3 linked regions of the Tribolium castaneum genome follow. The protein of the gene in region 3 purifies or fractionates together with the protein of the main gene of each other region. This does not show direct contact. Links are inferred from orthologs where the notes say so. Each region holds a gene or a part of one and is shown on either strand. Other genes may lie near its edges. The genes, in order: F-BAR domain only protein 2, Rlip and AP-2sigma.

Evidence for each region.
Region 1: the proteins of AP-2sigma (region 3) and F-BAR domain only protein 2 purify together in Homo sapiens (co-immunoprecipitation; 3 studies listed by BioGRID and IntAct, counting the BioPlex papers as one, with this or other methods). This does not show direct contact. The link is inferred for Tribolium castaneum from reciprocal best matches to the Homo sapiens genes AP2S1 and FCHO2.
Region 2: the proteins of AP-2sigma (region 3) and Rlip purify together in Homo sapiens (co-immunoprecipitation; 3 studies listed by BioGRID and IntAct, counting the BioPlex papers as one, with this or other methods). This does not show direct contact. The link is inferred for Tribolium castaneum from reciprocal best matches to the Homo sapiens genes AP2S1 and RALBP1.

The regions. Positions count from the first base shown.
Region 1 is NC_087403.1:5,305,385-5,309,144, reverse strand, and holds the start of F-BAR domain only protein 2, read left to right. Parts: upstream 1-866; 5' UTR 867-1,116; exon of another isoform or gene 1,117-1,160; 5' UTR 1,161-1,186; coding exon 1,187-1,216; intron 1,217-1,304; coding exon 1,305-1,396; intron 1,397-1,448; coding exon 1,449-2,119; intron 2,120-3,760. UniProt on the Homo sapiens protein: Functions in an early step of clathrin-mediated endocytosis. Has both a membrane binding/bending activity and the ability to recruit proteins essential to the formation of functional clathrin-coated pits.
Region 2 is NC_087403.1:3,536,372-3,540,131, reverse strand, and holds Rlip (ralA-binding protein 1), read left to right. Parts: upstream 1-1,332; 5' UTR 1,333-1,474; coding exon 1,475-1,562; intron 1,563-1,613; coding exon 1,614-1,743; intron 1,744-1,788; coding exon 1,789-1,997; intron 1,998-2,049; coding exon 2,050-2,311; intron 2,312-2,357; coding exon 2,358-2,535; intron 2,536-2,582; coding exon 2,583-3,296; 3' UTR 3,297-3,342; downstream 3,343-3,760. UniProt on the Homo sapiens protein: Multifunctional protein that functions as a downstream effector of RALA and RALB. As a GTPase-activating protein/GAP can inactivate CDC42 and RAC1 by stimulating their GTPase activity.
Region 3 is NC_087396.1:14,084,629-14,087,068, forward strand, and holds AP-2sigma (AP-2 complex subunit sigma), read left to right. Parts: upstream 1-945; 5' UTR 946-1,079; coding exon 1,080-1,082; intron 1,083-1,162; coding exon 1,163-1,312; intron 1,313-1,354; coding exon 1,355-1,630; 3' UTR 1,631-1,823; downstream 1,824-2,440. Other genes in the region: Trax (translin-associated protein X), read right to left, coding at 133-536, 587-806, 854-869. UniProt on the Homo sapiens protein: Component of the adaptor protein complex 2 (AP-2). Adaptor protein complexes function in protein transport via transport vesicles in different membrane traffic pathways.

The sequences.
Region 1 (3,760 bases), on a different chromosome or scaffold from region 3:
TATTCAAATAAACTTTTTAATCATAGCAGATGTTTTACTTATAACGTGCTATTCCTGTTTTACTCTTCAGACCATTTTCCCAAACGGGTCAACGACCATTTAAAAGCCAGTAGTAATCTATGGATAATAATCAATTCAACTAACACCCACTTTTCAAATTATGACCCAAAACGTATCTATACCAACAAAGACCAAACATACCTCACCTACATCCGACACTATCTTACACAAACATAAATACTCTGCCTCCTCTCCTGCTATAAATAACTAAAGCTCTACTATTCTTTACATTAGAACATTCCGAGCTTTTACCAGGTAAGTTGAAAAAATATTTTTCATTTTACCGATTTTTAAGAGACTACTAAGTTATCAAACTTTATTAAATGTCTTTATAAACATTTTTTACGACTGTAATTATAATCATTGGACAACTTATTTCGAAAGCACGATCACCGGTTTTTACATCAAAATTTTATAGTTTAATTATGATGACTCATATTTTGCTGAAATATGGGGTACGTGAATTTTTTATTTTGCCATTCATCAAACTAAAAATAAACGTTGTCAACACAGTAATAAGCTCAAATAACTTATCGAGTTGAATTTTTCTTTAAATAATGGTCCTGATCGAGCATGACATTTATGGCTTTTAGAGTTTTGTCCCCTGTCTAGGCCCCGTTACTTCAATATCGAGCCCACGTTTCCACCTCATTAAAAATTAGTCATCGTTTAAATAAATTTTTGAAGTGTTTGATTTGAAATAAATTGGCGTTTGGCGACCAGCGGGTTGGTGCTATGCAATTTGGGTGCAGTAGTGTATTCTTGGTCGTCTAGATTGGACGGTAACGCCCTCATACGTCACTTCGGCTGTATCAATTCTGTGATGATCCGCCCCCTACGATCTCGTTATCGCAATTAAATACCGTCAAACGGGTGAATGTCGTTAAATGTTGAATGGCAGATTAAGTTAAGGGGTTGATTTTTGTTAATTTCGATTGGGAATTAGTTGTTTATGTTAAATGTTGTTTGTTGTGTGTAATTAGCGTTGTCTGGTTGAGAGGAAGTCGTAAACGAATGACGGTTGTGATTGTTTATATTCGCCGTATACTAATCAGAGTAATGTGCCCTTACTTTTTTGGCTAGTGATAACGCATTTTCAGTCATTTGGCATGGTTATAGTGCAACAATGACCGTCGACTTCAACGATTATTTTTGGGTGAGTGTCTAACCTAACCGAGGAAGTGTATCGACGTCTCCACTTCTAATCTAATTAAGATTGTTATTATCCGATTTTTACGACCTAGGGCGAGAAGAACAATGGGTTCGACGTTCTATACCATAACATGAAATATGGCCTAGTTGCTAGCAAAGATCTTGCCGAATTGCTCAGAGAACGGTAAGAGACGTCCCTGTTGTGAGCAGCAATTTACTAATTTTCGCGTCATCAGATCAAACATTGAAGAGAACAACTCGAAACTACTTGCCAAGTTCGCCAAGCAAGCAGGAAGTTGTTGCAATCAAGGCACTTTTGCCCCATTATGGCAAGTCTTGAAGACCTCGGCGGAGCGTCTTTCGGCGCTCCACATGCAAATGGTGCAAAAAGTGAGCGACTTGGTCAAGGAAGTGAACAAATACGCCGAGGAACTTCACAAAAAACACAAGACTGTCAAGGAGGACGAATCTGGGACTCTGGAGTCGGTCCAGGCCATGCAGAATGTGACTTTAATGGTACAAAAATGCAAAGACACCTACACCCAGCGGGGACAGGAATTAGATAAGCTGCGCAAAGATAACGCCAGTCCGAAGGAGATAGAGAAAGCCGAGTTGAAAATGAAAAAAGCGCAGGAGGAGTACAAATCCTACGTTGAGAAATACACAGTTATCAAAGACGAGTTCGAGAAGAAAATGTCAGTCACTTGTAAGAACTTCCAAGAGCTGGAAGTTGCCCATTTGGGCCATATGAAGGAGTTCTTGAATTCGTACGCAGAGGTCGTAGAGTGGACACACGAACAAATGGGGAAGGTCCACAAGGAGTTCAGACAGCAGTGTCTTGAGCTTACCGTGGATCAGTTGCTCGAACAGTTCGTTCGCAACAAATCCACGGGACTTGAAAGGCCAGGTAAATATTTATCTTGGCAAGGTTGGCGTATTTTATTACCGTAATTTGACACAAACAAAGGCATTGTTATATGACGGGCTTACAATTAATTGGAACAAACAGAAATTTGAGAGTAATTGAAACAAACAAGACAATATTGCGCGTTCGGAAGTGTTAAGTTACCTGCCGGAAAGAGGAAATAAAAAGATTTGCGAGAGAACATAGCATTCCACATTACAGCTCCAATAAAAAATTATGTTTTCAAATACCCATAAAATTTCAAATGAGGTTTTGAAAATTTCAAAATAAATTGTAGTTTTTAGTTTTTTGTTTTGGAAATCTATAATGATTTTTTCATGCTCAACAATAATGAATAATGATCATTACATTTTTTTAAATCAAAAAGGAACTTGATGATGTCACAGTAAATTAGTGTACTCAAATATTACTATTTGTTTAGTACTATTGTGTCGATCTTCAATTATAAACTCCCTTATTTCAAAGAAATACTATTGATTCACTATTGACTTGTGTTTGTACATTTTAAAATTCTGCCCTGTAGCGAACGAAGTCGTATAACCAACGCGTGTAACAACATAATTTTACGTCTGTAAAATACAACTAGCAATTTACATTACATTTAGGGATTGCTCTAATTAGTCATATTGACGATGTTAAATAAATAACTGATTTGTGCAGCAAGAACTATATACGTTGATGTTTAGAGCATTTTTAGAAAAAATACAATTCACTTATGATTTTTATTTTATTTATTTTAAAATATGTGAATAATATTACGTATTCTCACATCTCACAGATCAACAATAAAACTTATATTATTTAATTTTCAATACCTCATTTATTGGCAGTAAGTAGAAGAAACTTAAAATGCACTGACCTTTCTGTCCCATCGCATCATCTTCTTAAACGGACCTACTGAAATAAAATACAATGAAATTAGAACAATGTGTCATTAAATTATAGTTGAAAGTATTACAGGTTTAATGTAATTTTCCTAAAAAGAAGACATTGTAGACTTACCCTTAAATCCGGATCAGAAGTTTCCTCTTGGAAATCCCTTCCAGTAGCACACAATAACTGCGAACAACACGCACTAGCCAACGAATTTGAAACTTTTAAACGACAAAATTTTGATTTGACTTGTCTATTCGCGACAACAGCAAGTAACAAACTGAATAAAACTAAACGGCACAACAATAATTGTGTAAGAATATCGATAAATCGTCACCAACAAAAAATATAATATGTGAAATAATTGATTATTACAAGGAGGGAAACGAAGAGATTTGTATGATTCATTGATTTGTGTTACGACTTCGTTACTTAACGATTTCTTGAGGTACCTACTTGAAAAATATACAGGGAGGTGCATTTTTAAGGCCGGGTCGCTGAAACACATTGCTTGAGCAAATAATTTCGGATAAAACATTTTAGGGAAATTTTTAAGTATTCGCAACTTCGGAATTAATTTCAAAAAAGGCCAGATTTACTGATTCATTGTCGAACCTGTTCCCTTAAAAAGGGCACGATTTATAAAAAAAAATCGTAACAGTTTCGTTATTCATGGCTGCGTATTCAGCCTATTCGGAATCGTATTTGAATATAAACCAAAGATAAAATTCCTGCGGCCTTTACAAGTAT
Region 2 (3,760 bases), on a different chromosome or scaffold from region 3:
ATTATTATATAACGTGAATGATTTAGTCATAAAGTTTTGTGTGAGTTTGATGGTTACATTAATCAGTTGTATTGTAATGACTGCGCTATACTTTGTACATACATATGGGCTCACTCCACAATACTTTCATATATAAAATCTAAAAAATAGGCTGTTTCGTTTTCGCTTTAGTGTGTACCAATATATTAAGCATTATGTAGCTGGGCTACACGTATAACTGCTTAGCTGAGATTTCTTAAGGTTGGTTCATTAGAAAACAATACAATCAATGTACGTTTAGTTGAGCTAAGAATGTTTGCACTTTTCATTGAAAATGGCAATCATACGATGGTAAATTTTACTTATTTACTTAAGGTATGCATTTCCCCAAAAAAATTTAGTTGTAATGTTGTTTCAAGACTATAGATAAACGCCACTCGCCAACTCGTTGTTCTAATACCATTTAATGACACAACCACCGTTTCTTTTGTTATTATATTATTGTTTTTTTTTTGCGCGTAGCCTCGATCTAAAGTAGGGACTACTCTTTACGTTGTTACATTGCCGGATTTTCTTTCACTCCTCCCGTAGTAGGGACTACTTTTTACTTTGTTACGTTGCCGGATTTTCTTTCACTCCGCCCGTAGTAGGGACTACTTTTTACTTTGTTACGTTGCCGGATTTTCATTCACTTCTCCCGTAGTAGGGACTACTTTTTACTTTGTTACGTTGCCGGATTTTCTTTCACTCCTCTCGTTTGATCTAGCTTGAGGATATTTATAAGTTGTGTTAGGACCCCTTGACAACTGGTTTAGGGGCAAGACTAGACAAAGGTGTTGTTACTTGAAACTCTGTTTTTATTAATACGACTAAATCCCATTTGTTTTATATTGTTAACAGTTTTAGGTGTCAACTACTCTTGATATATTTTTATAATGACCTTCCCTTTGGTATGTTTATGAAAATGTAAATCATAGGACAGGCAAGGAGTTCTTTTGTATGTGTTTTCGTAATATTGTATTTAGAGTACTAATTCATCATTTTAAGATAGTTGAAAATCTGCTTTTCCGTCTCGCCTGCAACCAACCACGTGCAATCGACAATTGATTGCAGGCGAGACGAAAAAACACATAAATCTTGTGATAATTAAACGTTTTTTTTGCTCAACTCCTTGCAATTTATTACATAGTTAAGTTAGTTTGTAAAGTGTGTTGTGGAAGTGTGGTCAAAGATTTGTCTTCCTGTAACACGTAAAAAAAATTAAAAAAAATTACAAAACTAGCTCGTCTTTTATTTCGAATCTCCCGGTTAAGGCGGCCCTCAACACCAGTTCCTTCAAGAGATGGCAGGGCAAGCACCTGTCATATTACACCACTCAGATGACTTGATTTGTGTTGTTTCTGTTTTATCCCAGCTTAACATGCTTAGCAACAAATTCCCTTGGGAAAATAGTGTCATAATTATTTATTAAAAGTTCAAACCCAACCGTGTCAATATGGATTTTGATAGCCCCGACGTAATGAAGGATTTCCCAGGCTTGTACGCATCCGAATTAAATAAGCAGTGCAATAACGACAGCGACTGTAATAATAAATTAAGTGAACCACTAATTCCCGATTAAAACTCGTTTCTAGATAGTGACGAAAATGAGAAAGTCTTGAAAAAGGACATTCTCATCGGAAAACGCAAAGAGAAGAAGGATAAAGACAAAGGTTATGCCGCTTTAGAAGGCGAAAGTTCAGCTGATGAAAATTTCAAGTCGAGGTAATCACACCTGCAATCACTCAAACCCTCACTGGGATGTTTCAGAAGCCCGTCGAAAACAAAAAAAGCCAAACCGTTCAAATTCTCCACCAAAGCCAAAGAAAAACGGGACAAATCCCGCGAAAAAGAGAAAGATCTCGACAAGAAGAAAGACCGGGATAAGAAGAATGACAAGAAGCAGGACAAGGAGAAAGTCAAGAGTGAGAAAACGAAGAAACTCAAACAGTCAATTGACGAGACCGCTGACATCGGCGGTGAGAACTCTTACATAATGACAATAAAATTGGAATGAATTGTTCGTTCCAGATATTTTACCGATTTTCGGGGCTAGTTTAGACGTGGCTGTTGAGAGGAGCCGGTGCCATGACGGTGTAGACATTCCTTTACCCATTCGGGAATGTATAGACTATGTAGAAACCGTAGGTATGTCGTTCGAAGGCATATACAAAATCAGCGGAACAAAATCAAAAGTTCTCCAAATACGTAAAATGTACAATCAGAGGGGCAATATCAATTTAAATGACTACGACCCTCCAACCGTCACAAGTTTAGTAAAAACCTATTTAAGGTAACCTTTTCTTAGGTGTAACATGATGGGCAAAAACTCTTTGCAGAGATTTACCAGAACCACTTTTTACAAACGACCTTTTAATACGTTTCGAGGAAGCCGGAGCCATCCTTAATCTCAACACTCGCGAAAAACACTTAAAAATTTTAGTGGACCTTTTACCTCCCCACAACAAAACGCTCCTCGGCTGGCTCATCACCCATTTACACAACGTTTCTCTGAATGTGAGTGCCTTAACACCCCAGCCCCCATAGTATAGCGCGTTTCGCAGGAAAAATGCAACAAAATGAACAAACAAGCCATTTCCACAGCCCTCAACCACACCTTCCACTGCTCCTCGCGCCTCCTCCACGCCCTGCTCCACCACTGCCTCGCGCTCTTCCCCACAATCACAATCGCGCGCTACGTGCCCCCTCTCGAGTCCGGGGCCAAGCTCCCCGAGGAGCCCCCCGAGATCGAGACGGAGCTCAAGAAGCAGGAGTCGCTCCTCACCCAGATCCACAAGGAGATGAACGTCTGCTGCATCTCGAAGCAGCGCGAGGAGCTCCTCTGGGAGGTGCAGAGGATCATCACGCAGCTGAAGCGCAAGCTGAAAACGGCGAACCGCGACAAGGAAGCGGTCGAGAAGGTGGAAGCCCCCGAGCCCGAGGCGCAGCCCGAGGAGGCGGCCAGCGAGGAGGAGTCGGAGCTGGACGGCAGCGTCGCGCTGCTGAAGTTCAAGAACGAGGGGCTGCTGCTGCTCAGAGACTCGCTCCTGAAGGACATCCAGGCGGAGCGCGGCCAGATCGCCGTGCTGCGCTCGCAGATCACGGGGGAGGTGCCGCCCGTGGCGATGGTGCCCAACGAGGACCTGGACGAAGTCATGGACCTGTTCCTCAAGGAGAACCAAATTTTGCAAATCAAGAAGATCAACTTGGTCCGCCAGATCATCGAGGAGCAGGAGATGTGCATCGAGCTGAGAGCGCAGATTTTAGCCAAGTCGTAATGTGTCCAGTATTATTGTAACTGTATATAATAAATGTTCAAATTGACGCTGGGTTTAAATTTAGGTAGACTTGACATTGGAGTGGGCCTAAGGTTACGGTATGCAACTAGCAATGCGCCTGAACTAAGCCAACAGGCGGCGCTAGCACTACTTAAGTCGAGTATTTTTACATGTTTTTGTGCGTGTTGTTTTTATTTTTAGTGGGGAGTGAGTTCGTACTGTTTCATGTCCGATATTATTTTAGAATAGGAAGTGGTTGAAGGTGTTTAATTTTTTAATTGTTATTTGTTGGATTTTTACGACCGTCCCTTGTGATGTTTGCTGGCGTTTGGCAAAGTCAATAAATAAGATAAGGAGTTTCGTTAGTGTTTAGTGTGTATACATTGCTCATTTTATTATATTGTTATAAGTCACATTTTGAATCGAAGCCTCAAGGGACCATCTCGTGGTAAGTCTTCTGTGAC
Region 3 (2,440 bases):
TCTTGGTTTTTTTTTAATCAACACAGATAGGCAACCAACATTACAGTCAAGTATACTGTGGAGTATTTCCCCTATTTTACGGCCGATTCCAGAAAAATAATTTTTCTACCTAATTTTTGAGTTAGAACTTACCTAAAAACCCTGTGTAGATATCTTTCACAAAATTACAAGTTTTGAAACAGTCGCTCACATTTCCTACTCCCAAATTGTTAATGCAACGTCTCATTAATTCTCCCGTAAAATCCGCAATTCCTAATATGAAATCAAGCTGTGGAAATAAAAGACTGAATTTTTCACCATCTTGCTCATACTGGAAAAATTTATTGATAGACTCCCAACTTTCAATTTTATTGGAATGCAGGAACTGATAAAAAACCAAGGCTTCAATAAATTCCTGTAGGCCACTTGTGTAAGCCTTCTGATATTGATAAGAATCAAAATCTTTGAGAATTGAAGCTATAGTTTTAAAATTCTCATCTGTTATAACTTTCAGTCTTTTGCAAGCTTCATCCAAGACAGCTTCTCTTTTCCCTTCTCTACAATTGTTTAGACTATTAAAACAGATTATAAACAACAACAATCATACATATCAGTGTTTGTAGAATGTAGCAAGAAAATGATACGCTTGTTTTCGATTGTAATATCTCGACTCAGTTTTACAATTTTTTCGTAACGGTCGTGTTTCTCATCCAGTTCTTTCCGAAATCCAAGAAACATCTTAATTACACGGTTATTCTCGTCAATATTTTCCAGCACTTGGCGCCCCTTTTCGCCAACTGTAATTTTCGATTTACCATGTCTTGAATCTAAAGTTCAACAATGTCATGAATGAAAGTTAATATTTCCAACATACTTCTATTTCGCGACATGATAAGACTTAAATGTTTACATAAAAAAATACATTCAAGAAGAATCAAATTAATTTATGGACACTCCTAACCTCAATTATCACTGTCAGACTGACAGTGACACCTAAAATCCCTAGAAGTGCCCCAAAAAATTGTTATCTGACTCGTTGGGAGGAGGTTTTGTTCAATTAAATAACAAAACCTGCCGAATTATTATCAGAAATTTAAAAAATGGTGAGTTACTGGTGTTGTACTACGTTTGTGAATTGTTCTCGACAAGCTTAATCGATTCTAACCAATTGTTTGACTCCCAGATTCGTTTTATATTAATCCAAAACCGGGCGGGTAAAACACGTCTAGCTAAATGGTACATGAACTTCGACGACGACGAGAAGCAGAAACTGATAGAGGAGGTGCACGCCGTGGTCACAGTTCGCGACGCGAAACACACAAATTTTGTTGAGGTGAGTTGTCCAAATGGGGGCTTGAATGATGCCTTTTTGTAGTTCCGCAACTTCAAGATTGTCTACCGTCGATACGCCGGCCTCTACTTTTGCATATGCGTCGACGTGAACGACAATAACTTGTGCTACTTGGAAGCAATACATAACTTTGTTGAAGTACTCAATGAATATTTTCACAATGTTTGTGAGCTAGACCTCGTTTTTAATTTTTACAAAGTGTATACCGTTGTTGACGAGATGTTCCTGGCGGGCGAAATCAGGGAGACGTCCCAGACCAAAGTACTCAAGCAGTTGCTAATGTTGAACTCACTTGAATAATTTTATCAAAAACGATATCATATTGTAGAATCTTATTTTATGCCATTCCTGTTTTTGTGTATATGTTTAAATGCAGGACCGTTGTTTAAGTTAGAAAATATCGGCAAGATTGGGTGTATATCTGAAGTGTAAATTTCTTATTGATTTAATTATGAATTATGTATGAAGAGCCAACATGAACAATATAAATACATTCCGAATTTTTATTTATTGTAAGTATAGAAGTGTATAAATGCTGGTGTTCAAATATAAAAGTTAATAAAAGCTTCAAGTTTTACCTTGTGAAATTTGGCATTTTCTATTATGCCTCAACTGTTACGGGCAACAGTTACGTCTTCTTCATCTAAAATGCCTTCTGGAATACTTCGCATGCGTTTTCTGTTTCTGCTTGATAATTTTGTCTCCACGTTAGGGAGATTAAGTGATGGAACTGCAGTTTTTTTAAGTCTCGCCTTTTTTACAATTGCTGCTGAATCTTATTCAACAATTAATACATGAAATAATTCTTACATCATTTCGTTAAACTAAATAAAAACGTGGTCAAGAGTACTCTCATCTTAACCAAGTTCTTTGGACTTACCATGCAGTTATGGTAAAGGTACTTACTCTTGGGAAGGTAATCTTTTCTGAAATGAAGCGAACAAACTCTTATTTTTGGAGAAACTTCTTTCTTCATCAATAATACTTCCAAGAGCTTTCTCCTGCTTACTTTTTCTTTACCCCCACATAGTCGTTGGTGGTTCGTCAGAAGATATGAAAATGCAAATCTCTATGTTCATCCTCGACTTGCAACCAAGAATACAATTTGTG